Astyanax mexicanus: one gene and its partners. The protein of the gene in region 3 binds, or shares a complex with, the protein of the main gene of each other region. Links are inferred from orthologs where the notes say so. Each region holds a gene or a part of one and is shown on either strand. Other genes may lie near its edges.

The links.
Region 1: scnm1 (region 3) and armc7 share a complex: the UniProt entries of both Homo sapiens proteins name them as parts of the minor spliceosome. The link is inferred for Astyanax mexicanus from reciprocal best matches to the Homo sapiens genes SCNM1 and ARMC7.
Region 2: scnm1 (region 3) and cript share a complex: the UniProt entries of both Homo sapiens proteins name them as parts of the minor spliceosome. The link is inferred for Astyanax mexicanus from reciprocal best matches to the Homo sapiens genes SCNM1 and CRIPT.
Region 4: scnm1 (region 3) and crnkl1 share a complex: the UniProt entries of both Homo sapiens proteins name them as parts of the minor spliceosome. The link is inferred for Astyanax mexicanus from reciprocal best matches to the Homo sapiens genes SCNM1 and CRNKL1.

What each region holds. Positions count from the first base shown.
Region 1 is NC_064422.1:33,672,678-33,680,624, reverse strand, and holds the start of armc7 (armadillo repeat-containing protein 7), read left to right. Parts: upstream 1-4,619; 5' UTR 4,620-4,868; intron 4,869-7,947. UniProt on the Homo sapiens protein: As a component of the minor spliceosome, involved in the splicing of U12-type introns in pre-mRNAs.
Region 2 is NC_064422.1:39,625,264-39,633,173, reverse strand, and holds the start of cript (cysteine-rich PDZ-binding protein), read left to right. Parts: upstream 1-4,314; 5' UTR 4,315-4,430; coding exon 4,431-4,446; intron 4,447-5,454; coding exon 5,455-5,520; intron 5,521-5,646; coding exon 5,647-5,701; intron 5,702-5,816; coding exon 5,817-5,920; intron 5,921-7,210; coding exon 7,211-7,275; 3' UTR 7,276-7,910. Other genes in the region: pigf (phosphatidylinositol-glycan biosynthesis class F protein), read right to left, coding at 51-167, 1,644-1,735, 1,842-2,069. UniProt on the Homo sapiens protein: As a component of the minor spliceosome, involved in the splicing of U12-type introns in pre-mRNAs. Involved in the cytoskeletal anchoring of DLG4 in excitatory synapses.
Region 3 is NC_064413.1:39,899,372-39,907,296, reverse strand, and holds the start of scnm1 (sodium channel modifier 1), read right to left. Parts: upstream 3,589-7,925; 5' UTR 3,471-3,588; coding exon 3,420-3,470; intron 3,242-3,419; coding exon 3,171-3,241; intron 2,267-3,170; coding exon 2,178-2,266; intron 1,850-2,177; coding exon 1,755-1,849; intron 1,643-1,754; coding exon 1,542-1,642; intron 1,122-1,541; coding exon 1,021-1,121; intron 879-1,020; coding exon 746-878; intron 468-745; coding exon 356-467; 3' UTR 1-355. Other genes in the region: lysmd1 (lysM and putative peptidoglycan-binding domain-containing protein 1), read left to right, coding at 4,814-4,993, 5,707-6,014, 6,275-6,422. UniProt on the Homo sapiens protein: As a component of the minor spliceosome, involved in the splicing of U12-type introns in pre-mRNAs. Plays a role in the regulation of primary cilia length and Hedgehog signaling.
Region 4 is NC_064408.1:84,184,303-84,192,918, reverse strand, and holds the start of crnkl1 (crooked neck-like protein 1), read right to left. Parts: upstream 3,277-8,616; 5' UTR 3,144-3,276; coding exon 3,096-3,143; intron 1,621-3,095; coding exon 1,468-1,620; intron 1,363-1,467; coding exon 1,271-1,362; intron 1,169-1,270; coding exon 1,010-1,168; intron 886-1,009; coding exon 719-885; intron 197-718; coding exon 18-196; intron 1-17. UniProt on the Homo sapiens protein: Involved in pre-mRNA splicing process. As a component of the minor spliceosome, involved in the splicing of U12-type introns in pre-mRNAs.

The DNA of each region.
Region 1 (7,947 bases), on a different chromosome or scaffold from region 3:
TATATATATATGTATATATATATATATATATATGTATATATATACATATATATATATATATGTATATATATATATATATATATATACATATGTTTATGACAAATTTGTCTTAAAACACCTCAAGTCTTCTCAAATACCAAAACACTTTCAAGAATCAATCTTGCCTATTCACAACCACTTCATCTTTCAATTATCGGCCATCAACAAAACACTAAACATTTCAGATCATCTGGTTTCCATTGCTACAACTTTTAAACAAATGAGAGTTGCACATCAGACGACTCTGATTAACCTTCTTAACATCTTTACCAATTTAGTTATGCTAAGATTTTGATAAATTAGTGGAAATTGTTTCTGCGGATCCCAGCTAGTATTTAAATATCAAAATATAGAATTTTGTATAATACGAATGTGTTTGTTTGTGCTATTTTTGGCCACTTTGTGCATTCATTATTTTTTTTTAAACATTGGATAGTGTTTTAAAAAGTTAATGTTAAATAAGAGGTTTAAAAGGTTGTATTGTTAGAAAAATGAATCACTAAATATCATCTCAACAGGTTTTATCAAAATTATTATTATTTTTTTTTAAAAGAGCTATTCAGATTATTTACATCAATAAATTATTATTAAACCCAATCGCAGAATTTATTTGCTTTTCAATGGAAAATCAATGAGAATCTGTCCCAAAAAGTTTTGCCTAAATCTATTTTGAAAGTAGGTGTTTAGTCAATCCTAAAAATGTGTTATTCACTACCTTTCAGCAGAGGGCAGTGTAGACATTTCTTTAAATTTCCTTTCTCAACATGTTCATTCCATTGCCATAACAGCTGACATGTTTCACATAACAAGCAGAAACAAAGACACATTTGTTCTATTTATCACACAGCTTTTTTAAATTTCTCACATTTGTTTCAAAGAAACTATCACGCTGGCTTATAACAGTACAGTCATGTGCCTTTTCACTGGACAACACAAGACTGCACAGACAGGAAGTGACATGCCTTACTGCAAAAGCACAGAGATTAAAATCTGCGCCTCACTATCAACAGAACAAGCATAATGACTTCCACAGAGAACACTGGGTGTGTTGTGTGCTGGTTAACAGCAATTATTCCCTGCATGTCAACTGATATTAATAGGTGTTTAATACGTTTATTGCTAAGTGTTGCAGTACAACGCTACACAATAAAACACATTTCACATAAAGAGTTGATTTCTTTATTTTAAAAACATACAAACATTTCCATTTTCTCACTAATGTGAACATTTACATTCATCTTTCACTGAAAATGTTCAGCTTTTGCTCAAAACACTTTCATGTATATTTTAGATTTTTACTTGTAGATATTCTTACAGAAATTAAATGTAAGCAGTATTCTGATTTTGTACACTGTAATCCCATTATTGGGCAGATAATAGGCAGAGGAAATGCACTTCAAAAGAAGCATTCATCATGGAACACACTATAACACTTATCTTTATTGTGAGTTAATGTTTTACACTGAGAGAGAAAATGCATCTTATTTAAGCTTATATATTAAACAAATTAGGAACTCACATAACCAACAGTAATACAGTTTGTTTTTGTTCGCCTGTCTTGGGAATCTTCAGATCTTCAATCCTGTGATTACACTTCAGTAGTGAGGAGGTGTCCAGAGTCAAATTGAGCTTCCAGTCCACAGAAAATTGAAGGTCCTTCTGTTGACTTCTTTTTTTATTCCTAATTCACCATTTTTCTTTATAGCTGTCATAAATTTTTCAGTTCATCACAAAACTTAAACTCCTAACCCCCGTCAGTGTCACTCTGATTACCTTTGCCTGGAGGTGTGTGATAAGCTCACCTGTCCCCAGCACTTTTCTTTGACTCCAGCTCTTCCATTTGTTTCTGTCTTCTTTCTAACACTTCTAAAAGTTTGGCATCAGTGCGAGCTCGCTCCTGCTCCCGAATTTCTGCCAGGTCTTCAAAGAACAAATGCCTTCAGAAAAAAGGTGAGGATTAGTCCAAAGCAGTTTCTTAATTCTGGTCCTGGATGCAACATGCCCTTTACATTTCCCAGTTGTAATATACCAACTGCTTGTTAATTTACTGATGGACAGTGGTGTCCAAAGTACACAAATCACATACTCTAGTTAAAGTACAGGTACCCAAAGTAAAAGTAAAAGTCCTAATTTTCTCTGCTTGAGTAAAAGTACACAAGTATTTGCCTTTAAATGTTCTTAAATGTTAAAAGGAACCGTATGATGATCTATTATGGCTCTATTGTACTGTTACTGTTTGTCTAACAATTGGTATCTGCAGGTATTGGCAAATACAATGTAAGACTTTTTAATACCACTAAGAAACAACATCTAAACCACTTTTGTACCAAATGATTAAAGCACACTACACCTTCAATTTCAATCAAACATAAACTAACAGGTTTACAAAATGAAAATAAGAGATATCCAACTGATTTTTTGTTAAATTTACACTATGCCTACAGTACTCTCAAATTAGAAACATTTTAAGACCAATTAGCAAAATAAATTGAAAAACCTTTCAATTTCAATTTCAGTTTTAAGGATCTACAAATACCCTGTAACAAGGCTCTAATGTAAAAGACCCTACTGTCACTTTTGGTTCACCCATCGTTTATCAGAAAGTCTGTCACTGATGTCTATTAAATTATTACAATTATTTTATGAAAAGGATGATACATAAAAGTACTTTAGTACAGCAATTAATTAAATTTATTTTGTTACCATCACTAGTTGCAGAAGGGAATCAAGCAATAAATTTGCAGGGCAAGGCCAAGTTTAAGAAACACTGGTCCAAAGGTTGCAGAAACAACAATTTGGTAGTTATGGGTCACACATGGTTCAATAACATAATATAACAATAACTGAAGAGGCATGGCTCTTCTAAAAGCAAAAAAAAATCCAGCTCAATGTTCTTTTCTGTGTGACCAACTGGTTTTGAGTTCGTTTTTAAATGTTATAATATAAATACACTTTACCATACCTTTAAATAAGACATATAGGTATTGGAATTGTAAGAGCTACTTTACAGAATTGCATACTAATTGTTTATGTTAGAAGTAACCGCAATGAAGAACTATGTAGAATGTGTAGTTCTCTATAAATTTAAAATAATGTTTAAAAACAGGATGGTGAACACATATATTTAACTGATGAATGAACTGTTTATAGAGCTTTGGAAAAAATATATGAGAATAACCACTTCAAAATTATGAGTTTCTTTGATTTTACCAAACGGAACACCTCTGGAATATAATCAAGGGGAAGATGGATGATCCCAAGCCATCAAACCAAGCTCTAGGAGTGGAATAAAGTTATCCAAAGCAGTGTGTAAGACTGGTGGAGGAGAACATGCCAAGATGAAAACTGAGATTAAAAACCAGGGTTATTCCACCAAATATTGATTTATGAACTCTTTAATCTTTATGAATATAAACTTTGCATTATTTGAGGTCTGAAAGCTCTGCATCTTTTTTGATATTTCATCAATTTCTCATTTTCTGTAAATAAATGCTCTAAATTACAATATTTTTATTTGGAATTTGGGAGAAATGTCCGTAGTTTATAGAATAAAACAACAATGTTCATTTAATTCAAAATGTACTCAAACATAGTCTAAAGCCTATTCCTATACAGTCTGTATTGATTTGTTTAAATGCAAGTTATTTTTCTTTATTTTCTATTTTAACCCTTATGTATGTGTGTATATGTTTTGCACAACCAAAATAAACTAAACTAAGCTAAACTAACAACTAAACTACATGCATTTAGTATTTTGGTAGATTTATAATGATAATAATAACAACAACAACTTCAGAAAAGGAATATAATAATAATAAATACAGAAGGACTACAAATTGATTAACTACATGATTTACAGATGTTTATAATACATTTCTGAGAACAGTAATAGACAGTGTGAGGTATAATAATAATACAGATAATACAGGTGTGGCTGCATGACTTTAACATTTAAGCTATTTATTTAACTTACCTGTTATAGAACGCTGTTGCAAGTCCTGTGAGTAAAGCGCCGAACAGCAGCGGCTTGGCCAGACGCTTTTTTGCTGATAAAGTGTACTGCTTCATGCTGGAATATAAAGCTGGAATATCCATAAAGAGAAAAGAGAGAGAAAACAGTGAATAAAGCTGTTAAATAATAAACTGTATTTTCTGCATAGACTCAGAGCTCTGACCTCCAGACATGCACCAAAACACGTAACGTTAGCTACACGCCCCCACTTCCTCCGGCCAGCAGTTTATAAAGCGTGATTCTCAAATATCTACTTGGATTTTTCATTTACTGCCACTTTAATATACATTTAAAAATTATAATAAAAGTACAATAACCCAAATTAATCGTTGTAGCCTCGAGTGAAACGTAAAAGTAGGTTTCAAAATATTTACGACAAAGTCAATGTTTGAGAGGAACTACAAAACATTGCTGAATTATCCAGGGGGAAGATCCAGAGAGGTGAACCCCGGCTCAGTCTCAAATGGCGCAGTGATCCCTATCTAGTGCACCTATCTAGAAACGTTTAAATGAGAAAGCCATTCAATACACTCTCAGATAGTGCACTAGAGAACCAGTCGCGTCCTATTTGGGACTGAAGCAAAGAAACATGGCGTGTTACTTGTGACTGCTAGCTTGGTTGACTAGCCAGCTAATATTTAGCAATCTGTATTAAATCACAATGATATAGTTATCTAGAGACATCATATTTAACTACATCCACCCAGCAAGTCCTCCGCTAAGTAGCTAAGCTAGTTAACTAGAGTTTTTAAGCGTGTTTTCTTTTTCTAAAGTAGCCTAGTAGTAGTGAATTTGCTTGCAATCTAATGTTTATTAGGTAAGTGTCATGTTTTTTTTTTTTTTGCCTTTTACCCTACTAAGGTCCCTTAATGTTAAATAATTAGCAATATCTTCATTTCAAAGTAATTAAATGAAGCAATGTTTTGTTAAATGGGGTTATATAATAATAATAATAATTATTATTATTATTATTTATGTACATATTTATATTATATATTGTTGTAGAAAAGAAAATGTGAGGTGGGCTACCCCCACCTCTCGTCCAGGGTACAACTCCCTGCGTGTTCGTTTGATAGAGAGAGTCAGACAGTGGAGTGAAGTTGAAAGCAAACCAAGTATTTATTACAAACTGAATATTCAGGAGAACTAACACATGAAAGACCGTCTAACAGCCACCCAGCATAAGTTCTGACCCCCCTCCTGATCTGACTCCACGTTTATACCCCAAAATGACGTAAGCCTGTTGATGAGGCGTTACTAACGATTAGCTCATGTTAATATGCATAATTTCACGTGTTAGTACTCAAGTTTCACGTGTCTGACCGGACCACTAATGTTTGACCTTGACTGTATTCTTCCATCCTGGCACTATCTGTGTGTGTGCGTCACCCCCCGCTTTGAAGTAGAGGTTTTTTAGGGAGGCACTCACTCATCCAAAGGCTGCTTTGATCTAATAGCCTTTTTTGTAGCAATTTAGCCCCGTACCAGCCGAATTAATGACCGTTAGTTAGGGTCCTGCAGTAAACAAAATACTTCAAGCCTGAGCTACATCTCATATGTTATATGTTAATGTGGGTTAATCTGTCATATAATAGAGTCTGTGTTAGTCACATGCCTGATCAAACAATGTTTTACTATATATGTAAAGAATATACTGTGATTATTGGATAATCTTTTATATAAATGCGTGTAAAATACACTGTGAGTAAAAATGATCAAATATAATGTGAGTATTGGTTAATGCATATAAAATACAAGGTTTCACACGATGATTATGTAATTTTAGATACTAAGATAAGTAATCATGATTGTGAGATATGTGTCAATACATTCAAGGTAAAACAGGGTTTCTTCGTAAGATTTCCCACAATTCCCCCTTTCGACGTATCAAACAGATACGTCGACAAACCGTAATTCCTCCAATCATGTATTTACATATGTTCAACCCTTGATCAACATGTGAGTGAACATTTTACTAACGGTGGGAGCGAAAACCTGTTCTGGCAGCCTTCCAACCAATTTTTGACAGGAAAAATTCTCCCACGGTCCCTCTGCCACCAGGCGACCAACAATTCGAACTCTATCAAAGGAGGAAGTGACATCATTGCAATAAAGTCATCCCCAAGACTGGTTGGTTTCCAGCATTTCCTCCAGCTCTTCCTCACACTCCAGTATAGGTCGGTTTATCTGTAGCTCTAACTTTGATCCATCCCACAGGGTCATTACCACTTACATCCACCCGGACCCCTATGAAAAATGATTTTTCCCCATTAGGATCAGATTGCCACTCTAATGCAATGGTTATCAGATTATTTATCGGACCATTATCCCTTTGTATGTTAATACTATTCCAGTTCTCCCGCTCACGAGTCGCCCAGCGTTCGCTTGGATCCCAATTAACATGCATTGACCTAATTACGGTTTCCCACTTGTTACAAGGTCTGGCCTTGTAAGCTGTTTGGTCGGTGTTATGAGTGATTCTCATGAAGCTGCAGGGAACATGTCCATGACAATTTTTTTTTAAATCAGTACTTAATTCACAAAAACTCCGATATTGTGTGTAAAGCAAATAGGTAGTACTGTATGGATCAATTGTTCATATAAAATTATTTTTATATAAATTAAATAAAAAATATATGGAAATTCACATTACCGTTATGTGTCCGTACCCCTTCTTTCTAATTTTAAGTTAAACCATATTAAAAGTACTAAGCATATCGAATCAATAAAATAGATTAAAGTCATTTAAAATATCACCATTTATACATAATATAAATATTTTTGGTGTTGAACAAAAAATGTACTTGATTTTAAACAAAATAACGGTGTCCGAACAATTTTTCTCATTACCGTTTCATGATTTTACCCCCTTAAAAAAATTACACTGTGCCTTGAAATTGATCAGCTATCCCATGATGCATCACGTCAGAGACAAGCTTCAAAATGGAGATAAGATCAGTTGGTCACTATTCTCTCCCTTTGAGAAATCTGTGTTAATATTACTAAAACTGTCCTCAATTACACTGTGTATTATCATTACCGTTATGGTTTAATACTCATTACTTTTAAAAATATAAAAATAAATTATTTCATGAATATTATCACAATATAAGGCTTTTACAGCTGGCAAAGTTATAGGTTGTTAGCATATTAGCATTTTAAGTTATGTGTGAAATTAGCCAAGAGCATCTCATTACCATTTAATTGTGTTCTCATTACCGTTATGGATCTAAAATGTTAATTTCTCAAAAGTTTCACATCTTATCATAACTTTTCTTCATTTTACTATAGTATACCCCTCACCTGTTGTCCCCATGAGTTTTTGATCAAACATATTCTAAAATAATTTTCATTAATTAAAAAATTAAAAGATATTTTACAAATGTTGTATCGGTAATGAGAGTTGCTTAACTATAAATAAATAAATAAAAAGATCAAAGTAAGTGTCAAGGACTGTGCTGTTAAGTTGATGGGATTTTGTTGTGGAACTATTAATCAAAAATTAATCATCAAAAAATGTTTTGAACCGGTTGATCTAGCTTCGTCATTTACTGTAACGGTAATGAGAATTATTCTGGATCATATAAGATTCAAATGATAATAAAATTCTATTTTAGCTTCTCAACTTGAAAAAAAAATAATGTTGCAATGAGGTGAAAAACTTTCTTATGTTAATGTGAAGGTCTTCGTGAGAATCACCCTTATGGTTACACTTAAGATTATCATCACGGGACCAACACAAGTACACCGCTTCCCCCTTGGACCCCTGCTTACCACAAGTAACCACGTCGCATAAGTTCACTGTCCATATGGTCATCTCACCCCAATAATAGTCTAATTCTATACCTCCCCAGCGCCTGATGCATTTTGAGTTAGGCTGTTTGATGGTTGATCGT
Region 2 (7,910 bases), on a different chromosome or scaffold from region 3:
CTATATATACAACAGTACTGATCAGACAGATCCTAAAGTCCAGCACTCACCCATCCCTACTGAACACTCGTATCCACGCCTGCACGTTCGGCCCGAGGACACACAGACACCTCAGTGTGGTGAAAGTAGAGAGCAGCACAGCCAGTGAAAACGTCTCCAGCGCTGACCTTTACAATTACATAACAAGGACAACACAGCAGTGTGTTAAATATATGTAACTATTATATCACAATATTTAATTAACAATAAACTTAAGGATACAGGACAAAAAAAATCAGTTTAAAGCAGATGAATCTAGGGATGTTAGCAAGGACTCTGTCTTTACTCTTTAATTACAATAAATATATTACAATATTTCGCCTCCTTACGACTCAGGAATACTACTGAATCTGCTTTCAATTAATTAAAAAAATCTTAAGGACTGCTGTTTAAATACACACTTTTCTTCAAAATGTGCTGTACTTCTTATTGAACAGCACTAATTACATCTACATTTAGTTTAGTTAGTCTTAGTTAATGTTATTCAAGCATTAATAAAAAAACAAATTGATATGCTTAGAGAATAAATTTACATTTACATTTAGGGTATTTAGCAGACGCCCTGATCTAGAGTGACTTACAAAAGTGCTTTGTTGTTTACTTCAAAATATCCATAGATAGTTCGTAGAGACAAGGATCAGGAGATACAGCAAGCTTTGATAATGTTTAGAACTCTAGCAGAATTTTATTGTATATGTATATAAAAAAATGATCAAATCAAATTAAATCAAATGTATTATTTGTATAGGGCTTTTTACAACTGATGTCATCACAAAGCAGCTTTCCAGAAATGTGATCACAGGACAGAGTATCAGGCAGAGTATCAGCTTTTAAATAAAATATATACAGCTCTGGAAAAAATTAAGAGACCACTTTAGTTTCTGAATCAGTTTCTCTGATTTTGCTATTTATAGGTTTATGTTTGAGTAAAATGAACATTGTTGTTTTATTCTATAAACTACAGACAACATTTCTCCCAAATTTCAAATAAAAATATGGTCATTCAGAGGATGTATTTGCATTAAATGAGAAATGGCTGAAATGCCAAAAAAAAAGCAGAGCTTTCAGACCTCAAATAATGCGAAAAAAAAAAAAAGTTCATATTCATAAAGTTCAGAAATCAATATTTGGTGGAATAACCCTGGTTTTTAATCACAGTTTTCATCATGCATCTTGGCATCATGTTCTCCTCCACCAGTCTTACACACTGCTTTTGGATAAATGTATGCCTTTACTCCTGGTGCAAAAATTCAAGCAGTTCAGTTTGGTTTGATGGCTTGTGATCACCCATCTTCCTCTTGATTTATATTCCATGGGTTTTCAATTTGGTAAAATCAAAGAAACTTATAATTTTTAAGTGGTCTCTTATTTTTTCCACAGATGTATATATTATATTATGTTTAATATAATTAATCCCAATAACAAATGTAACTATACACAATAAAATAATGCCATATTGCCCAGCTCAACTAAATGCATGGGAAAATATGATACGGAACATCTTATGTAAACTCTAACAGCCTGAGGTCTATGTTTTGGTTTAACAGCCTAATTTACATACTGCGATCTACACAACAAAAGCCTTATTTACACATAATACTCACTCCAGCAGCGGCGCTCCGTACAGAACAATCACCGTGTGGAAGAAGAGACACGACAGCAGCAAATACACACAGGATCTGATCAGCTTAGACAACTGAAGTAATAAAAAAAGAAGAAAAGAAATGTTATAAATAAAGTATCAGATCAACATATCATCCAATGAGTTGTGTGGATTATTTATTTATTATTTAATTTACTACCTTATAACTCAGTGTGTTCTTCTTTGTTGGTGGACTGATGCCCAGAAGCCAAAACACTGCGATGTTGACCACAGCAACAGAGCCAGCAACAGAATACAGCCAGATTAGGTGCGTCCCGTACACGGAGAACTTCTCCACCAGAACGGCCGGCATCACTGTGGCCATAAAGATGGAGGCGGCGATGATGGCGTGGGCCGAAGCCATCCCCCTGATCTCCACGTCCCACATTATTCAGGATATTCTTATTGAGCTATGTAAAAAGAAAAAAAGCATAAATTCAAAAGTGTTATTGATTAAAATGCACAAAATGTGTTTTATTATACAAGTTACAGAATTTGGAAATCCGCAGTAGGGGTGGGCAATATTGCCCTAAACTAATATCAACATTTAAATTTTCTTAGCGAATATAACAAAAGATTTAAAAAGAAAAAAAAACATTTTATCTGTTTCGTAAACAGTAACTTACCAAAACCTTGATTTCGTGTCAAACATTAATACTACCACAATTGTGCAGCATTTTAGTGCATGTATATAAACAAATAATTACAAGTAAATTCAGTAAATAGCAAAACAAATTTAAAAAAAGTCAAAAATATTGCTATCCCAATACAGTGTTTTTTATAGTCTTAAAATAGTTAGAAATATTAATCCACAAATATGGCACAACTGATGCTCTCAAACACAGTAAGAGGCAAATAATTAAAGTAATTAACTCTTGATGAGTTCAGTACAGCTGTTAACTGAAAGCCTGAATTCCAGGTGACTCTACCTCATAAAACTGACTAAGAAAATCCAGCCAAGATATTCAAAGCTGTCATCTAAGCAAGAGGAGCTACTTTGAAAAATCTAAAATAGGAAACATATTCTGGTTTATTTGACTCTTTTTGTTTACTACATATTTACATATGTTTTTCTTCATAGGTTAAGTGACTTTAATATTAATCTAAAATGCAGACATTTTTAAATAAAGAAAAACTACTCAATTTAAGGTATGTCCAAAATGTCCACTTCTACTGTATGTATACAAATTAAATTAAATTAATATTAAACATATTGTGACACAGGTACATGGGTAATTTAATGGCTTTAATATTGCTAAATAAAAAGGTGCAATTAAAGAACGCAATAAATAAGTTGTACAAAAACATTTTAAAACGGTGTGCGGTATGTATACAGTAAACGTGATGTATAATTTATACATACATACATACATAATACATACATTTAAAATATTAAAATCATCAATAAATAAAATAAAATTCAAACTTGCTCTTAGTATCGAACATTGATGCAGAAATGAACATAGAAACCTAATAATTGTAACACTATACTGTACGAACCAATATGAATCAGAAGAATACACAATGGTTCGTACAAAAAGACACAGTAATTAATAAATAAGCTGTAAAATATATAATATTAAATTAAAATATTATGCATACAGTGGAATTAGATTAGATAACCCAGATGTAGGAACAGCAGTCAGTACTTACTGATACAGGTTTTCTCCAGACTTCTGCTCTTCTGAGGCTCGCTGTGTTTTTATTACTGCATTTGATAAAACTAACCTAAAACTAACATCAACGTAGAACATGAAATATTAAACTATGAGCTTTAGTTTAATGGTTCAGGATGTTTCTATAGAGAGGAACGACATGACCGACTGAATTAACTACAGCGAATATCCGGCAACACCGAGCAGTCTATCAGCGGGACACAACAAGGTTAAAGCCCCACTCTGTCAAAATAAAAGTCTCAAATATTCTCATTATATTCTGTAATAGTTTACTATTATAATGTTCTACTAATTCAATAAATATTTATTTTTAATATTATAATGATAATAATTCATATTTACTGTATACGTCTAACATTATAACGACAATTACGATTAATGTACATTTTAAGCATTATAATGATAATTAAATTGCCTAAAAAGCATGTTTCTAATAAAATAATAACAAAAAATATTACTGTCTGTTTTTAACATTACACTGACAAATAAGATTACTAAAAATCATGTATGTTCTTTCTTGAATTGTATTGAATATTAATTATAATACTATCACTTTAAACATCTGATTTGGCAGCGTATTTATTTTATGAAACCAACGTGCACACAACAATAGTGCTATATAATATATCGAAAATTCACAAATATACACAGTTTAAAAAAAAAACAATTACATTTTTAAATTTGTCACATATTTCAATGAATAGTGTAGATGTAATTTGCCGTTTTATAAATAAATAAGCATGTAAATAATTAAAAGAAGAAAAAATATATAATATTAAATAAAATGAGAAAATATTAAGGATTTTAATTAAAATTAACGAAATCAAATTAGTAATTTTTAAGAATAGTATAAATATAATTTGATCTGTAAAAAATAATAACAAAAAAATAAAATAAATATAAATTTAATTTGTTATCGTTCTTCTGTGAACGTTAAGCTGGGACTTTTATTGTAAAGTTAAGGACTTTTATTGTAAAGTAAACGGTTGCTGTATTCTGGAGCTGCGCAGTGTGAGCAGTTACAGCTGCTGTTTACGGGTTTTAGATTGAGGATTGTGTTTAACGGCAGCAGGATGGTCTGTGATAAATGTGAGTAGTTTTATATATGTAATAAGACCGTATATTAATTATAATTCAGTAATTTAAGGTGATTAAATCGGTGAATTTCGGGTTACAGCTGAAAGTGTCCCGTTGTTTCCTGGTGTTGTTTAGACTGTTAGCTAGAGTTAGTGTTAGCATTCCGGCCCAGATAACCCTTCACTGTTATAACCTGCGTTTACTGTAATAATTTTAGTTTACCTAGTCAAATAAACGGTTCATCTTCTTAAATTACTTACCTACACATCATATTTCACTATATATACAGATAAACTGTTTAGTGAAACTTATATTAGCTTTAGTTTAACTGTAAACACTAAACACAACACAATATAAATTATTTAGTCTGTTTTGGGTGCCCTTCTTTCTGTTATCTAATCTAGCGTAGTTTAACTTAGCATAGCCAGTTTATATAATAAATTAATTATTATATATATATATATATATATATATATATATATATATATATATATATATATATATATATATATATATATATTATATAGATGTATCACACACAGTGATCTATTTTAAGCGTTTATTTCTTTTATTGTTCATGATTATGGCTTACAACCAATAAAAACCTCAAAATCAGTGTCTCAGAAGATTAGAATATTACATAACTAGTGCAGAAAATGAAATCTGCATCTCCATCAAAGTTGTCAGCAGAGGGAAGCATGAAGTGCTGTAAGAATTTAGACTTGATAATAAAACACAGTGGATCAACACCAGCAGATGACATGTCTCTCCAAACCATCACTGATTGGTGGAAACTTCACACTAGACCTTAATCAGCTTTGAGACTGTGTGACTCTCCACTCTTTCTCCAGATTCTGCTCTCTTGATTTACAAATGAAATGTAAAATTTACTGATGATCAGTGATGGTTTGGAGGGACATGTCATCTGCTGCTGTTGATCCACTGTGTTCTATGAAGTCTAAAATCAGTGCAACTTTTGTAGAGAGGTTTTAATTTTCTTATTATTCGTTTTCTTCCCAGGTGAGAAGAAGCTTGGTAAGGTTATCACTCCAGATACCTGGAAGGATGGTGCACGAAATACAACAGGTACAGCCTGCTTAATAAAACATTATTCAAAATGTTATTTTTTTTATTCTCTGCTTATAGTTAATACATTAGTAGATCTTTGACAAGTAAAAACAGCCACAATATAACTAATATGTTTGTTTACAGAGAGTGGTGGACGGAAACTTAATGAAAATAAAATGCTGACCTCAAAAAAAGCCAGGTATGACTATTACTTTTATTTTTATTATGTCTAATTTATTAGTTTATTTATTTGATTACTAATTTAAACCATTGATTACATTAAAGTAAGCATTTGCTTGTATTTCCTCTGTTAGGTTTGATCCCTATGGAAAGTCTGGTTTCGCCACCTGCAGAATATGTAAAAGCTCTGTCCACCAGGCTGGATCTCATTACTGCCAGGGATGTGCTTACAAGAAAGGTAAGTTTAGGAGCAACATGTCACTGAATGTTTCAGACATGCTAAGTGGAGTAGGGATATTTAATTATTTTTGTTGATTACAGTTAGGCCTGTCACGATAACAATGTTTTGTGAATGATATGTTGGCCCAGAAACTATTGCGATAAACGATATTGTTGGCATTTTAAGACCATTAAATGGCACTTATATAATAACATAATATCATAACAAAGGAATTACACCCTTTTAAAGACTATACACATTGCGAAGTGTTCAGGCAGGGGAAGCGTAGGTCCCACCCCACACTATGATGTGCAGCCTCAGTTTGTCCCAGCTGGCCCACATTGGACCGGCATTAAGATCCTGCCTGAGAGATATGCTGATGGTGAGAGGAAGGCTGAGGCAACATGAACCTAAGAAACACTAAAGTCAAGTGACTACAGCCGCACTGGGCCGTTACTATATGTTTCTTCATGTTGGTTTGGGTGTTGATGGAGGGCATTTTTCCTAATGAAGGTACGTTTTGAGTTCATCCACTCCCTGTGTCTGTGACTCTCTGTGCTTCCGCAGTACCCCGCGTCACGGTGTCACAATATATGTGCATTTCGTAAGTGCAAACAATATGGACGATATAACGATTATTAAATTGACTAAGGCCATGTATATTTATTGAACGATAAGTCGATAATGTAATTACTGTGACAGGCCTAATTACAGTCAATATTATACATACATTCTTTTTATTGATTTTACTATACATTTCTGCCTTAAACCTTAATACTAGTTTCTCAAGTGTAGAGAAAGAGAGGGAGAGAGACTGCACAAGTGAGCGAGAGACAGACAGACAGAGCAAGGTAGACAGCGCAAAGGAGAGCAAGCGAGAGGGAGAGACAGCGCAAGTGCCTAAGACATTTCAGCACAGTGGCGGTGTGTGGACAATTTGAAAGATCTGCATTTCTCTCCGCTCTGCATTTGGTGCGTTTATGAGTGTTTCATTCAAAATGATCAAGAACAGACCTTTTTTTTTTTTTTAAACCATTTGATTCTTGGTAGTACCAAGACATTTTGGTCGGTGCCTTTTTGGCATCGAATTTCAACACCCAATCGTAGTTTACATGAGGTTACATGTTTTCTGTGAGGTTTTATTCCCATCTGAAATGGCGTATGTTTTTTTTTTTCGTCTGTCCTTTCTATGAAAATTTTAGGTAGAATTATCTGCAGATTTTTTCACAGAAGTGTCATTTTGCAAACCACTGCAATAAATCATAAGGCTGTGATTGTTTGTGTAAACAATGTTTTTATTTGTTACAGGGATCTGTGCCATGTGCGGGAAGAAGGTTCTGGACACCAAGAACTACAAACAGACCTCAGTGTGATTGGAATTCTGTTTCATAGACAGACAGTTCATAATGTTGGGAGAGGTGAGGGAGGGAATTATAGCAGTGATTAAGATTTTTTAACTCAGAACTTCTATTCGCTACCTATTCTCAGTTTGTTAAATTAGTGAAGTAAGAGGAGTTCACCGGTTGGTGGTGTTAAATGTGTGATAGCATATTGGTGCAGTAGTTAATAGCTGTATCAGTGCTGATATCCCTCCCTCTGTAGAACACTTTAAAGCAATATATGGGCTTGCACTGTTTAAATGAATTTAGATGCCTTCCACGAGTGAAGTGGTGGAGTATTTGTTTTGTGTGCCACTTATTAAATATTTTAAATGTAAAAAAACATCTATTTTGACCTCCCTCTTACTTCTCTTTCTTTGTAAATACACCATGTTGCCAGGCAAGACCTTCTAGACTGTTCAGTAGTGGATGTTCTTTGCTAAAACTGGTATCTTGATTTTTGCTGACAAGGCCAAGTCCAATCTGAGGTCTCAAAATGACATTTAAATACCATCCGTTCCCCGAGGCGGTTCTTTCTTCTTCATTCAGGACTCACAGGGCATTTTCTCTCTCTGTTCTGTTTTCTGTTGTAAGTATCATTGCATAATAAGTGAATGGAATAAACAGTT
Region 3 (7,925 bases):
CTCATGTCATATATGATTCTGTTTTTACATCTGTGATCTCTCTCAGACCACAAGGACATACTCTCAAAACAAGTCTACTGCTGCAGGACAATGCAGGGGCAAAAACAGCGATCTGATAATCCAAATTTGGGCTTTGAGTACACATTTTCTACTCTCCCTTTTAATGGCAAAATAATCCATTTGGTCAATCCAACAGTCACATCAATTAGCTCCCTCAGTGGACAGAAATTTCTTAAGTCCTGCTTTTCCTAGCCTTTTCCTAGTTTAATACAGATGCGAGGTTATTTTGGGGAGGCAGGGATATGTCTTGGGCAAAGAGCATTAGGGTTCTCCTGAAGTAGCTTCCTGGTGACATCTAGGTAGTTTCACTAGAGGGTGGTATTGGGAGCGGTTCTTCCTCATCTGAATCAAACTCCACATTTTCATCCTTTACCCATTTACCACTTGGGTCCTGCAACCATCCGGCACTGAAAGAAAGAAAAAGCAATAAAAAAAAGAGACACTGTGGCTCCTAGAAAAGAATGATTTATTCTGATTCTTCTAGTAAACTGTTATGTTCAGAGAAGTACAACACATAATGCACCATACCAATGTATTGGTATAGATATTAACATTAGAATTAAGCATTTTAATCTTAACATTTAAAGTATTGCCTATTGAGGCCAAATTCATTTGACTACTCACATAGTAAAGCCATTATGGGCTGCCAAAAACTCTGTGCTGAAATGGCTAAACAATGTCATACCTCTTTAATTTGAGGTAGTGTTCTAGTTCTCTGCGCCTCTGCTCAGTCAGAGGTTCTGACTCGGGTACACTGGGAGCCTTACAGCCCTTCTTTTTATTCATCTGTTTTCCACTCTGGCACTGATCCGGATTTGCTTAAGGGGACAATAAAGTCATTCTATAAATAAACTGCATACATCTGCATCAAAATAACATCTGATGCATCCTAGAAATGCAAGCAAACAAACAAAAACTAAATAACAGTTGTATAATAATAGTAAAATAATAGTAACTTACTTTCTCCAGCAGGTTTGTGTTCTGTGTTTATGCTGCTTGTTGCAGTAGATATGTAGCTCTCTGGAAGACAGCTTTTTGATGTAACGTTCTCTGATCTTTCACTTAAAACAATTAAAAACCATTATATTATGATAAATAAATACATTATACAAATAATTGTTAAAAGAATCTGAACACACTTATATATCCTACTCCAAATATGGAGTGAGTTGTTAAAATAAGGATCTGTTTGGTGTTCTACTGAAAATTTCAACATTTTTAACACTGCAATATATATTGTAAAAAAAAAATCTATTGTAATGCCTTTTTTTTTTTTTTTTACATTGTGCAGCCCTTATAGATATAGACACAGTACATATATATATATCATTTATTATGACTGATATAATGTCAAATGTAGTGTCATATATTGTGTAAGTTGCATAATATTAAATTGACATAATAATCATGTAAAATACAACATACAATAAAAAAATAGCAATGAGTTTCTAATATCAAAATAGAAATGTATTTATCATTACCTGGCCTTTTTATGGCAGCTGCTGTAAGGAGAAGATCTTAGTAAGGCATGGTGGGTAATTTTCCGTGTCTGTGTGAGTAAAGGTGCTGAGCTTCCAGCTTCCTAAACCAATAAACATGGTTTATGAAATTCTAATGGTTCTATCTACAACACTGTACATTTTGCAAAAGGTGGGTACCATTATTGTAAGTTGAACAAACATGCTATTTTTTACCTGCTGGTCGTCTTCCTTATTAACATATTCCTGATGTCGCCTTTTATCAATTTCGTTCTGTAATCGCGATTTTTTGCCATAAAACCATTTTAGACCTAGACAGTAGAAGACCCAAGAAGAAAAGAAAAGAACCCAACAGTGATCTAATACAGACTTGACGAAAAAACAACAAAATACACATTTCAACAAGACAATGCCAGATGCACTTATTTCATTAAGTTAAATTCATGCATAAGGTAAAATCCACCAAGACCTTGTGAAGCTAAATTAAGCAAAATCCAACCACTATTCTTGGTGTTTGAACAGCAATGAATAATGTGTGAGAAGTTTAATTTTAGTTTAATTAAAAGAAAGCACAACAAAGCACTGTAAATGTCCTCAATACTTTTTTAAAGACAACTCAATAATAACACAAATTCCCACCTTCAAGATGGCGCTTTCCTTTCCTGTGTACACTCAGCATATCCACAGTATCAAACACTGGACGATGTGAACAGACTAAACAGCTATACCTATCAAATCCAAAAGAATGTCAATAAATTACTACACATATACAAAGATGATCTTACTCATCTGAAGAGTATATCAACCACATATACCATACATATTGTTTAAAGTGTAGACATATGAATATTATAAGTACAAAGCTTCATTTTGCCCCAGTGGGAGTTGCTTGGTGGCAGGCCAGAAATTCAAGGAAAATAATCCACAATAAAGGTATTTTTGTAAAACCCATAATCTAAAGCTGTGCTGGGCAATGGCTTCTGAAACAATGTGCACAACAGGAAAAACACAACACTGATGAAAAATGCTGTTGTAGCACATAGCACATTCAAGGAGTATATTTATATACTAATTGATTAAATAAATTAGACATTACATTAATTTGTCATTTGGTTTAAAATAATATAGACCTAATTCAACATGTATTTGGTCACATAGCAAAATTGCACCTATTTCTGCACACACTAACTACCAAACGTTGCTTGAACAGGAACAATGATTAACGCTAATGTGAAAAACGACTAAATTTCACTCTTAATGAAATCCACATCACTAAGAAGCAGTATCCCAGATATGGATTAGGTGACCTAATCCATATCTGGGATAATTTAGGTCTAATTGTAGACTATTATTTTAAGTTTCCTTTCTATGGAACATCTCAATTTAAATTGTTGTGTGGTCGAAGACTAGGCATAATCCTTGCTATGTAAACTGCCACACATGTAAAATGCTTTTGGCAACTCAAAAACGCAAAATATAGCTTTAAAACCCCACAATTCACTTCAGGCAATAGTTAATACAAAAATGACAGAAGCGTGCAGGGACTTTAGTGGCTACGCTAGCTAACTCTGATTCTACATCCGGTAGGTTTGCTAACGCTAGCTACAACCTGCATATTTATTCATACACCACCTTCCATTCTTCATCAGAGTGGCCTCGTCTTCGGGTATGAAGTTGGAGAGTAAATCTGCAACACGCCGTTTCTATAAGCACAAATTATTAAATATATTAAACATGCTAAAGCCAGGATTTGTGTGCTTTCACAAACTTTAAAGCTAGCTAGCTACTAGCCAAACCTGCACTTAAACAAATCGTTTAAAGCATCTACCGCATCTCACGGTTCTCTTTAAAGCATACGGGGCTTAAGGTTGTTTACGTTACCTTTAGGACATTTAGCTGGCTCTGGTCATCGCCTTCTCTTTTGAAGGACATATTGTTTTATTAAACTGTGAGTTAGTGAGCTAAGCTTATCTTAGCTAACCGAGGTGCTGCGGACTTCTCACTCACACCGACTGCCTGACTTCCTGTTTTCATTGTGGGACTCGCTGGGCGGAACCATGGCAACGCCAGATTAGCTTAGCGAGCGCATTAGGCTAATGGAAGCTAGTCCATTACAGACACATAACTACAGTGCAGCTCACTATAATTAGCGGCGCGGTCACACCGCCAACACCACAGTCTGGGCTCCGTGCTCTGGTACAACTAGCTAGCTAGCCGTAACTTTACCTAACTATTTTAGAGACTGAGCCGCGTTTAGCTACGCTAACTTAATAAGTAAGTCCGTTATCTCGTAGCTAGCAAGCAAGCTAACTAACTTTTTCGTAGCGTAGTGGTGAGTCGGTATGTCGTATTTTACTAGCTACGCTAGTTAGCTAGCTAGCTAACTGTCTAATCTGTCGTATATCCTGCTACGCAGTTTAAGTTAATGTTGAGCTAGCTAGATTTGGCAGTACGCATTAAGTTAACTTCGCTGGAGCTAAAATGTTTCCTAAAGTGGGCAGATAGCTAACGCAGTTTTTTTTAACTGAAGAGCTAGCTAGTCATGTTGTGGTCTACAGGATGGGCCGGTTAACACGGGTAAGTTAAGTTATTGTGTAACTTAGCTACTATCCTAATAAGTTACTTGCTATCCTAAACTAGCTACAGACAGTGTAAGTTATTTATTTAGTTAGCTAGTTGTGGGTTAAAATCTAATATGTATGTGTGTAAACAGTGAGTAAAAGTGAGATTGTAACGTTGGTTGCTAAATTGTCAAAATGAAATGCAGTTTCCCCCCTCTAGCATAAATCATGTAAGTTAACCCTATCTCGTTTTTTCTATTTTTGTAGCTAAGTGGGTTAACCTCTTTGTATTGAAGGCTAGAGGTTTATATTCAGCAGTAAAGTGGAGCTAGCTAGTTAACGTTAGTGTAACTTTATCTGATGATGGAGCTAACGTTAAAGTTGTAGAAATTACGTAGTTAGTTCGCGTTAGCTAGCTTGTTATCTCTGTTTAGATGGATGAACTCTATAGCTAACTATGTTGTTGGACAAGAAACTGTCCAATCTGGAAAAGAAAACTTGTTTGGCAGTGAGCTGTTTCATTACTATACTGTTTATTGCTGAATTACCTAGTGAACCTAACCAAGCTATAACGTTATAACTAGCTATTTATCTACAGTATTACTCGAGATGTAGCAGCCATCCTATTGTCTTGCTTACTAAAATTCTCAGCCCCAAACGGATCATCATCATCATCATCATCATCATCATCCTCAGTAAACTAGTAAAGTCGTCATGTCCTCGGACCGGACATCTTCACTCACTGGATCACACGGGCTCCTACGCGGTCAGCGCACCAAGTCTTATGGCAGTCTGGTGACTTCGTCCCTGTCACCAGTCAGACAGAAACGCATTGAACACAAGGTTCAACCAGGAGACACTCTACAAGGATTGTCCCTGAAGTATGGCGTGTCTGTAAGTGCGTTTATAAAAGTGCTCTACTCTAAAAGTTGTAAAACGTAGTATTGCTTTTATCCATATTCAAAAAAAAAGTAACTATTTGCGTAGCATTGGCAAGACAGGCAGGCTAAATCCATCCCTTAATTCACAATTTTACATTGTAGTATGCCCTAATGACTGGGAACATCTTATTTGCTAGTAAAATATCGCTGAAACTGTCGATGACGAGCCAGGGATTTATACATGAGTGTTGTAGCTAAGCAATAATAAGCCATAATCAAAATCTTTTATTCTTTGTGTTTAAATTAAAGTTTGGTCATGAGGGTAAATAAGAATTAGATTTTAGATTGCAGTTGTATTTAAACAAATCTAATATTTAGGTGTAAGTAAGTAAAAGAAAGATTCTAGTTCCTAAATTGTCAAAATGAAATGCAGTTTTAAGAATGTACATTACCAATATTGTCACCTTCTAGCATAAACACTGTATCTCAATATTTTTCTCAATCATTTAAATCTAGGTATTGTTCTTAAAATGGTCTTAAAATATAATAACTAGTGGACTAAAAGAACATGACAAACTTAATACAAACACTTTTTACATTATCTACTATGTAAATATTTAATAATCGTACTGTTCACATTATTACTAAGACCCGGGTGCTGCTTCATACACCTGTGTTTAAGTAGCTTGTGCCTATTTAAATGCATCTGTTTTTGACCTCTTGTAGATGGAACAAATCAAAAGGGCAAACAGACTGTACACCAACGATTCAATATTCCTGAAGAAGGTCCTCTTCATCCCAGTACTGACGGAGTCAATATCCTTTGCTAATGAGAATGAGCTACTTAATGAAGTGTCAAATCAAGAAGAGAGAAAGTCACTTCAGCAGGTTTCCGCTGGAAACGGCCAAGCTGACTGTGAAAGCCAAGAAGTGACTTCAGATCTTTCTCCATCGGACTACTTGAAAAGGATGGATAGTCTGATTAATCAGTCTAAACAAGCAGCTGTGAAAACATGTCAAGAAGGAGATAAACAGTGAGTATTTGCAGTAATTGCTTTAGTATATAATCTTATATTGTTAAAATATAAAGTTATGTTTACATACATTGTTATGCTATTATAATAGCATTATATCAGTGACATAAAATAAGGACTAAAATTACAATAATTTAATTTTTCACTGTTATTTCTGCAAAATATTATTCTGCAGTCCATCATTCATATCTAGGAAGCAAATGTCTTATTAATGGGTATGGAAGTTGAACTTTAATTTAGTTCTTTACATTTTTTTCAAGGTTTTCATCAATGAAACAGCTTCCCAGCACTCATGTCTCCAGTGCTTCTTTCCAAGGTCAACAGGCAGTGCTGGGGGCTGTACCTCTCACAATCACCAAACGTACCAAGAAACTAAGAGACAAAGAGGATGAGATTTTTCAGCTCTGACACTGGCTGCTTAGAAGATCTCTCTGGCTTGTGTCAAGTATTTAAGTATGCAAAAAAAACCTTCAAGTTGAAGCATGAATTGAGGATGTCTGATTTCATGCCTTTGAGCTAGTGGTGCTGTGTGTTTGATATTCAGACTACCAGCATCTGTGCACTTGATGACTGATTGATTGTGTTGTGGGAGTGATGTGCTCTGCTACTGTACTAAATGTGCTGCTGTGGCCTTAGGTCATGTTTGCACTCTGGCCTGTTGCCTACTATTGGCTGCATCACAAAACAAACTGTACAGTACTACTTCCTCTGCATTTTCTGTCCCATGACTTCTGTCTTTTAGTCCTCCAAGAAATCAGACATGGCTTGCTTAATGACTGTTAGAAACACTACCTCACAAAAAAGATGATAGTTATGTTTACAAAGCAGAATTCCTCAAATTAACTTGGCATTAACCGATTGAGCAGGTTTAGTCACACTGTTGAGACATGACCGTTTGCTGCAAGTAGCTAAGTGGTATGCAAATGTGATTTTAGTCAATGATTCGACCGTTAGAAATACTTATATAAGCTGCATATTCATATATACATATGGGGAAAAATGCCCAAACATGAAAACATTTCATCTTCCCTAATTTCCTAGGCACATTTCATGTTCTATTTACTAAAGGTATGTGATACAGATTTTGTTTTGTTGATTTGTTTTTGTCACGTAGCTGCGAGACTGCCAGGGTTTTATTTCACAAAGAAGGATTTTTCAGTTGGATAAAAGTAAGCCAAAAGTTTCTGCTGTCCAGTGGAAATGAGCAAACTAAGCCCTCTGAGAAATCCTGCTTTGTAAAATGCTGCCATTGTCAAAATCCATAGTTTTAGTTCTTGCCATTTTTTTGTAATTGTAACTGAGCAGTGATCTGCAGGTATACAATAAGAAACACTGTGCCCTGTGCCCTCTGTTCTCTCATTATTGTAGGGATTTAACAGATTGCTAATCACTGAAGCCGTTACATTAACTAGTGTCCTAATTTCTTATCGATTTCAGTTCAGTGTTTTATTTATTTGGTGTTTGCAGTTTTAACAAGCTGTAGCCAATTCAAACTTGACTTTTTTTGTTTGTGTAAGATTTGTGAGAATGGCCATAAACAGGAATGCCACCAAGTAGAGTCAGAGCAACATTCAGGTTTTCAAGATCTCATGACCCATTGATTAATTGCCAAAGGGAATTGCTCTAGATGAATACTTTGTAGAATGTATGTGGTTGTGTGCGCTGTGCTTACATTGTTAACAATGTAATACCATGCAGAAATATAAAAATCTAGCAGTACCAATAAAACACACAGCTGATGATGAATAAATGCAGTGTGCCCAAAGACCTTTGGATTTGTTAGTATTTTTATGCATAATTTATTTGGTTCCCAAGGAAAAAATATAAAACTGATATACAGTGCATGTGTATGAATATGAGAATGTGTTGAACACAAAAATCCATGCAAGATTTACTTTCAATTAATGGAGC
Region 4 (8,616 bases), on a different chromosome or scaffold from region 3:
TCTTAGAATGACATTACCTCTTTCTGCTTCTCCTCAAATCTAGCAAAAGCCACAAAGAGGTTCTCATCAATGTGCTCTTCACCAAAGAACTCCACAGCTCTTTCAAACACCTTCCTCGCGTGAGCAATGTAGCCATGCTTATCCTCAAAACGAGCGTATTTGATCCAGTTCTTTATTTCAGGATGAACGATCACAAGTGCAGTGGAGTTAAAGAATGTAATCAGTTTGCTATGAGAGCCCACAATCAGGTACACATTTAACACTCACAGAACAAGTTAAATTAAACGGAATACTAGTGAAAAACAGAGTAAAAGAACATAATAACAAGAATGTAGCTGTAGCCAAATGGTACATAGTGTAACACAGATGATTTCATTTCATTTAATTTCAAATTTAAAAAATAAATAAATAAAAAATAAAGGTTTGAAAAATAAACCTCTAAACCTTACTGCAAATTAAAAAAAAAAATAAAGTGAATTTTATCCTGTTCTTCATTACACATCATTCTTTACTTTTTTTTAATTAATGATAAATAATGACCAAAACAATTTGAAAAACAAAAATACCATAACTTATTCTGTAATTTTACTATAGCCAACATTGGGTGATCAATGCAATCACATAACTCAGCAAACTGCAAAACTCATTAAAGATCAGGCAACTATTGCACACCATGCTACAATAAAATATCTAAAAGCTAAAATATATAAAAGGATATATCTCTCGTAGATGGTGCGGGCTTTGTCCACCTCCTTGTAGCGCAGCTCGAAGTTGATGTACGAGTGCCAGGCCTGTTCTTCTGGCTCCCACTCCATCCAGCGTTCAAACACCTGCCTGCAGCCGGCTACGTTCCCCAGCATCTCCTCCATGTAGCTGTATTTGTACCTGTAAATTCATTCACACCAAAGCTCACTACATGTAAATTGAAGCCAGTTTAGAATAAATGTTTTCAGTCTTCCTGTAGCAAATGTTTCTCTGTCAAAAAATTGGACAACAGAAGTGTTATTACCAGAACTGGTTGACTCTTGGCAGGATGGTTATGGCTCGGTCCCAGATGTTGCGAGCATGGTTGACCTGGCGACTCTTCATCTCCATTTCGGCATACTTCAGCCACAGTGTGACATTGCGGTGATCTACATCCAGCGCTCGCTCGTAAATAGAGCGAGCTCTTTAAACATGAATGACAGAAACAAAAGGTTTATTTTCATGTTCTTGAACATAAAAAACATGCATTTAAATATGAGTCTAACAGAATGATTAATGATAATACCTCTGGATTTCTTTCAGACTCTCCTCCCATTGTGCGTACTTTATCCAGTTGCTTATGACAGTCCTGTTCTTTCTGATATGGTCTTCAAATCCCTTTTGAGGTGATAAGAATATTGGTGATGGTTTAAACAGGAAGGTAAAATCAATGACTTTGTTAAAACAGATTGTTAGATTTTAACATGAAGCACGTTCTCTTACCTTGCGTTTTCGTAACTTGTAGTCATTTAACTCTTCTTCATCAGTGATCTTCTGTTTGGGTGGTGGAGGAAGAAGCTCGAGTTCTCTCTCCTTGGCTTCTCTCAGAAGCTGCTCAGCAGTTATCTGCACCTCTGCTGGGGCTTTATTTTTCACCTGTGGGAGCAAAAAAATGGTTAATTAAGCCACCAATGTTATGACATACTGCTAAAACTTAACACATAATATCCCATTTATTAATTATTTATCTATTAAAAACGACAAAATTGAATATTGTACTATATATATATTTTTTTATGAGTTTAAATTTAAAACACACTACTTTATATAGTCAGGTAAAATGCCATACTCAAAAACTGAACAGGATAAAACACTCTGCATTATATTTTAGAGTAGATAAGCTACACAACCACAATTACAATTACTTATCAAAAACATTTTTTCTCACTTTGAATGGTGTCCATACAGATATGCCATCACTATTATTTCATCTGCACTTTGGCTTAGTGGTTACCATGTTCATCTCCCAGCACTGGGGTTTTGGAATTAAGGCCCTATCTGGATGGAGTTTCCAGTTCAAAACATGAAGTGTTTCGTTGGTGTCTGAAAAAGCGCTGTATGTGTGTAACTTAATTCATTAACTACTATTTTTAACTACACACTATTATACAGTTAGATTCCACCAGCGGTACAGTGTTGTACCTTGCAGTTTGTCATGCCAAAAATATTTATCTATGTATGCCTTATCTGAAATTACCTATAAAATAAAAAATGTATTTATATTATTATGTATTATTTAATCTACGCATGCAGAAACTCAGATTTTCCATACGATACGAACACTTATTCACGATACACTAAAATGTCGATATATTGTGAAGCTCTACTTGCAGTATATGTTTTTTTCTATAGTTTTATACTCTAGTGTTAAAAGTTTAATACTTATTTGTTCCAGGTAGATATCAACACATGGTGGGGCTCCTATTACTGGAGGTTCAATTCCTATCTTCATTTATACAGAAGCAAGCTAGTTTCGAGTCTGGGGAAAACATACTCCAAAACCTAACTAGCTGCTACATTCTGCAGCCAGTGAAAGATAGATTTGCTGGACAATGAATACATACTAATGATAAACTTATGATAATGGCTCAAATAAGAGCTTAAAGTTATTGTGTTATTGTGACAATTTGATTAGCTAGCTAGCTTAGCTAACTACAGACCACACTCAACGGCAAACTTAGGGCTGTGCTCCAATTCGCCTATTTGAGTTCTAAGTAGGATACTTATCAAGTGTGTAGAAGTGAAGAAGAATGTTTCGCTGCACTTCAGCGGCTAGTACGTTAAACAACTGACTTAATCTAGCTTATTTCAGTTCAGCTCACGTCGTTGTTCCCAAGCTACTTAACGGTATGTGTGTACGAGAGTGTTTAGCATATTTAGCTCCGGTGAAATAGCCAGCTAACGTTAACTACCAGCTTACAACTGGTCCTTTCCCACTTTTGTTTTCTAGTTAGTGTGCGAGTGTGCAGTGCGCAGACCCTCCAATTGGTACACGTCCGTTAGCAACGTTAGCTTATCCTAGCTTATTTAGCTAACCAGCAGGTTTACTACTAACAGACACTAAAACTCACCTTGGCCACTTTGGGTATTCTCTGTTTCCCAGCAGCGGTGGACGCCATATCTGCAGAATACCTGACACCACAAAACTACAAGAACTCTGAGAGAAGACCAGGCTGTAAATATATAAACACAGAGAGCTTCAGCTAACTGGCTAACACTCTTCCACCATGGCCAGGGCTTCCGCCATTACGTTCGTCTACAAAACGGACGTCCAACGTAAGACGGAAACGTGCATACGTCATGACGCATGGTTGCCATGACAACAGGACGCCCAGCGCTAAAGTGGTTTTGAACTGGTTAGTTTGGATTAATTTACTCAGATTGTGTACATTTCTTTGCTCTTTTGGGTGAGTGACTTTCTTTCTGTTGAATTATCTTTTTACTATTTATTTTTCCTGACAAAACGACATTTTTTAGCTCAGAGAACTATAGGAGAATATAGTACAACCAAATGTGCAGGACATTTCGCTTTTAGGTCGAGTTGTGCTACCCTCTCAAACAGTGCTACCCCAGTGTATATTTAAACGTAAGAATTGTAAATACTCTCGGTAGGATTTGAAACGCCTAAATCAATAGTTATATCAGGATCCATTTAATGGTTAATCAGAGGTTTTGTTGCTCACATAAATTTGGTGCTCACATAAAATTTCCGCGCATGCGCACTGGTGTTAAGAAGCACATTTCGACACGTAGCACAATTCGACAGAACACCGCACAAAAACACTGCAATGTCCGAATGAACGCTGTATATAAACAAACAGAGCTGAGGGAGAAAGGATAAAATAAATGCACGCATAATTTTTTGTGTAGATAAATTACTAAATACGTTTTGTCATAAAAAGTACACACTTTAAATTATATCAGGGATCTATTTTCATATTCCCATGCATGAACATTTATTTGGGGCTGTTTCTGCATTTATTTATTTATTTAATTATTTACTTCCACATTTATTTATATGTGTATTTATTTAATCTCACATTTCTTCATTTATTTGTTTATTTTTACCTTTGTATTGTGGCGTGGAAGAGGAAGGAAGACCCGTGAGACTCATGCTGAATGCTCAACAGCTCCTTTATTGAACTGGCTTGCCACTCACTTACAGTCTTTAACAAGACTAGGAGAGCTAAAACCATACCCACAGAGCTCAAACAGCCCAAAGGCCACCAACACAGCTGTGTGTCTCCCAGATGGCAGATCCAGAGTGGTGCCCACCCTCTCTGCATAACCCCTCCCAAGGGAGATGCCCCACCCCTGTCATCCTCACACACAGGAGAACAGAACATGCCTGCAGGCAGCCACACACACAACCCAGAGCCGCCACATAGCCCCCCTCCCAAGGGTCAGCCGTCCCGGCGACCCCACCAACCCAACACAAACCCCGCGTACAACAGAACATTTTTTTATTTTTTATTTTTATTTTTTTACAATCAGTCGCAAACAAAGTCATTAAGGCGGGCGGGCGGCCTCCGTGCCCGCGGCGGCCTGGAGGGGCCGGGCACGGCACCGCCTGCCAGCGGCTCCGAAGAGCCAGAGTTCAGGTCAGGCACGAGTGCAAGGCCGGCAGGTTCCGCACCACCATCCACAGTGTCCGACAGTCTCGGCCTATAGGGGGCCAGCCTATCACGGTGCACAATCATAGTGCGTCTGCCCCACCGGATCTTATACACCAACTCCCCCAGCCTGGACAGCACCAAGCATGGACCCACCCAGGCCGACTGGAGCTTCGGGCACAGTCCCTTCTTCCGCTGAGGGTTATATAGCCAAACCCTCGCCCCCACCGCCAACGGGTCCCCAAAGCAGCGCGTGTCGTACACACGCTTCTGCTTCTGTCCGGCAGCAGACTGGTTGGAGCGCGCTAGACGGTTTGCTAATTCCAGCGAAGACATAAGGTCCGAGACAAAAGTGGGCGTGTCCGAAGCGTACCCGCCCCCGTCAGGAGGCGCCCCAAAAGCCAGGGAGACCGGCGTCCTCAGTTCGCGCCCGAACATAAGCAGAGCCGGCGTGAATCCCGTCATCTCCTGCACAGCGGAGCGACAGGCCAGCAGCACTACCGGCAGGTGCCTGTCCTAGTCACGCTGGTTCTTGTCCGACACCATGGCCAACTGCGCCGCCAGCGTGCGGTTAAAACGTTCCACCAGTCCGTCACTCTGCAGATGAAGGGGCGTCGTCCTGGTCTTATGGATTCCCAGGATGCGGCAGACCTCCGCCATGACCTCCGACTCGAAATTTCTCCCCTGGTCGCTGTGCAGTTCTTCCGGAACCCCGAATCTGCAAAAGAACTCCCGCACCAGGATATCCGCAGTAGTGACCGCCCCTTGGTCCGGCACCGCGTAGGCCTCTGACCACTACGTGAAATAGTCCATCACCACCAGAACAAAGCGATTTCCAGAGTCCGTCACCGGAAAGGGGCCCAGCACGTCCACGGCCACCCGCTCCATCGGGCTGCCGCACTGGTAAGGGTGAAGTGGGGCGCGGGGCGCCCTCGAGGGGCCCTTCTTGGCAGCGCACACGTCACAGCAGTGCACGAAGAGTTCCACGTCGGTTCTACACCCAGGCCAATAGAAGCGTTGCCTCAGGCGCTTCAGAGTCTTGGTGACACCAAAGTGCCCAGCCCCAGGTGACCCATGAACTCCCCGTAGGACCGATCCCCTAAGCGCCCGTGGTACCACCACCTGAAAAACGCGCCGCCCGTTCGCCGGATCCTCCCAGGTATGGCACAGCACGCCGTCGGACAAAGTCGGTTCCGTGCGCCAAGACATCATCCAAATAAACGACGCAGCACGACCGCGGAACCCCACATAAAACACGCTCCATAAGACGCTCAAAAGTAGCCGGCGAGTTACACAATCCGAATGGAAGCACCGTGAAATGCCATAGGGCTGAGCCGAGCGAGAAAGCGGTTTTCTCCCTATCCCCCGCCGCGAGGGGCACCTGCCAATATCCACTCCTCAGGTCTAACGAGCTGAACCAGGCTGAGCCAGACAGCTGGTCCAGCGTATCGTCGATCCTGGGGAGCGGGTAGGAGTCAAGCTTCGTGACAGCGTTAAGTCGCCGATAATCCACGCAAAAGCGCCAATTTCCATCCTTCTTTTTCGCAAGGACCACCGGGGACGACCACGGGCTGCTCGAAGGCTCAATAATGCCCGTACTCGCCATCTCGCGGACTAACTGCTCCGCCGCTACGCGCTTTGCTAACGCCAGACGGTGCGGCCTCAGCCTGATGGGCTGGGCGTGTGGCCACGCCCCCCGCAGCGCCAGCACTCCAGTTGGGCATCAGACTGGCTCCGACCCCACCTCTGCGAATCACGGGCAACCGGCGACGCCCCCCACGGTCCAGGATGGCTTGAGAGGATGAGTTCGGACCGCTCCGCCACCTCCACCGCGGACTCCAGGGTCTGCGGGTCGGCCAGCCTCACGTGTTTGCGCAGCTCGCTCGGCTCGAGGGCGCGCAGAAAGTGATCCAACGCGAGCCTCCTCTGGGCCGCTCGCGGAAACGTTGGGTAAGTTTGGCGGGTTAGCAGGGCCATCTCCGATGCCAGCACGCCCAGTGTCTCTCCCTGCTGTCGGCGTCTGTCCGCCACTAGCATTTTGGCGGCCGCCTCTGACGGTTGGCGGCTGAAACGTGTTCTCAGCGCCCGCGTCAGTTCGGGCAGCTCGCAGCGGCACTCGGCGGGGAGCTCGATCAGTACCCTCAGCACGTCGCCCCGCAGCGCCAGGCAGAGGTTGGCTGCCGTCTCGGCGTCCGTCCAGCCCGCACCGCCCGCCACGATCTCAAGCTGAGCTTCGAAGGCTGTTCAGTCAGCGCTGCCGTCGGAGAGGGTAAGGCGGGGTTGAGCCGTGAAGCCCGCCATCCCGGAGGCTTGCGCCGCCATCATCGCGCCGTCCGTTCCGCGAGTCGGCGCCGCTGTCCTTGCGCCATCCGCTCCGTGAGCAGCTGAGCAGGCGTTTCTCAACAAGAGGAATTTCGGCCTGAAATCGCTGCTCTGATTTTCGGTTCCTACTGAAGATTTATTCCGCCAGCAAAACGGAGAGAACAGAACTGAACTGAGCTGATCTGAGGTAAAATACTCCACTACACCAGCAGCTACCCCACTATAGTACTATCCTTACAGAATTACCTTTTTTTAGAAAACTATATATTAAAACTGAGGAAATTATTTATTAAATTAACAGATTTATGACAACTAAAGAATATTTTTTTTAAATTAACAGAACCTTTTATTGAAACAAAGGGAATTATTTATTAAAGTTAACATAACGATTTATTACAACTGAAGAAAGTATTTAATACATTTAACGTAACGATTTATTCAAACTGAGGTATGGAATTTGGAACGATTTAGTTAAAACTGAGAGAATTATTTATTACATTTTACAGAAAGATTTATTAAAACTGAGGGAATTATTTATTAAATTAAGAGAAAGACTGTTTATTAAATCAAGAGGATTATTTAATATATTTAAGTAAACATATTAATTACATCCAAGGAATTATTTATTACATTAAGTTAACAATATTTTAAATTATGGACAAATATATTTATATTATATAATATATTGTAAGAGAATGATTTACTACATTAAGGAAAATAATTTATTATATTTAAGTAAACCCATTTATTGTAATATGAAATAATTATGTTAAATAATTGTACTTAATAATAGTTATAAAATATATAAAGATTTATTGTTTGTGAAACGTCTGTACGACTGTTTATGGTTTAGGAATTGTGTAGATTGGCTGAACCCTTGTTTCTGTACGTGCCGTATTAGGAAAACGCCCACCAGCGACAGCTCGTTCTGAGTGAGACACGTCCACAAGCGACTCATCGCCTGTTGCACAGGCGACACAGAGCGATTTTATCGCGTTCGGTGTGAACGTACAGTAAGCCGGACGACGCGGCACATTATATTTAAAGTCCGCTAACTGCCCTGTACATTGTTTACTTCCGTTCAGAGGCGAAGCTTAGACATGATGCTGACAAAGTGGGCGGAGCTGGACGCACTGGACGTCCAACTCCGCCTTCCTGCAGGCTGCAGTCAGTACCCTCTCAAAATAACCGGAAAACAGCAAAAATGAGCCGTGGATACAGTTGCTTCAGGACGAGCATGTTCGTTTGGCGAATTTGAACTGACCTAGAGTACTGTCCCTGAAGTTGCTGCTGCTGGTATAAAAACACAATAGCAGCACTACTATGGAGACGAAATGAATCTGTTCATTCATTTTATCCTTATCCTGGAAAGGCTTTCCACCGAATGAACCAAAACCAATAAGGAAAACGCATCGATACGTAAGTGATGATAAAAGGATGTAGGAGTATCACACAAAGGTCTTTGTTGCGCTCCCTAAACTGCAGTATGAAAACAAAAATAAGCGGACCAAATATATACAATGTAGCAAACACATATGAACCTTGGTTCAGACCAGGGTCCGGACTTTCAGGGTTGAAAAGCAGGATTGGTCAGCTGGTGAATCAGTTATTCATTTATATGTGAATTTATTTATTCATACTTGTGTATGTTTTTTTT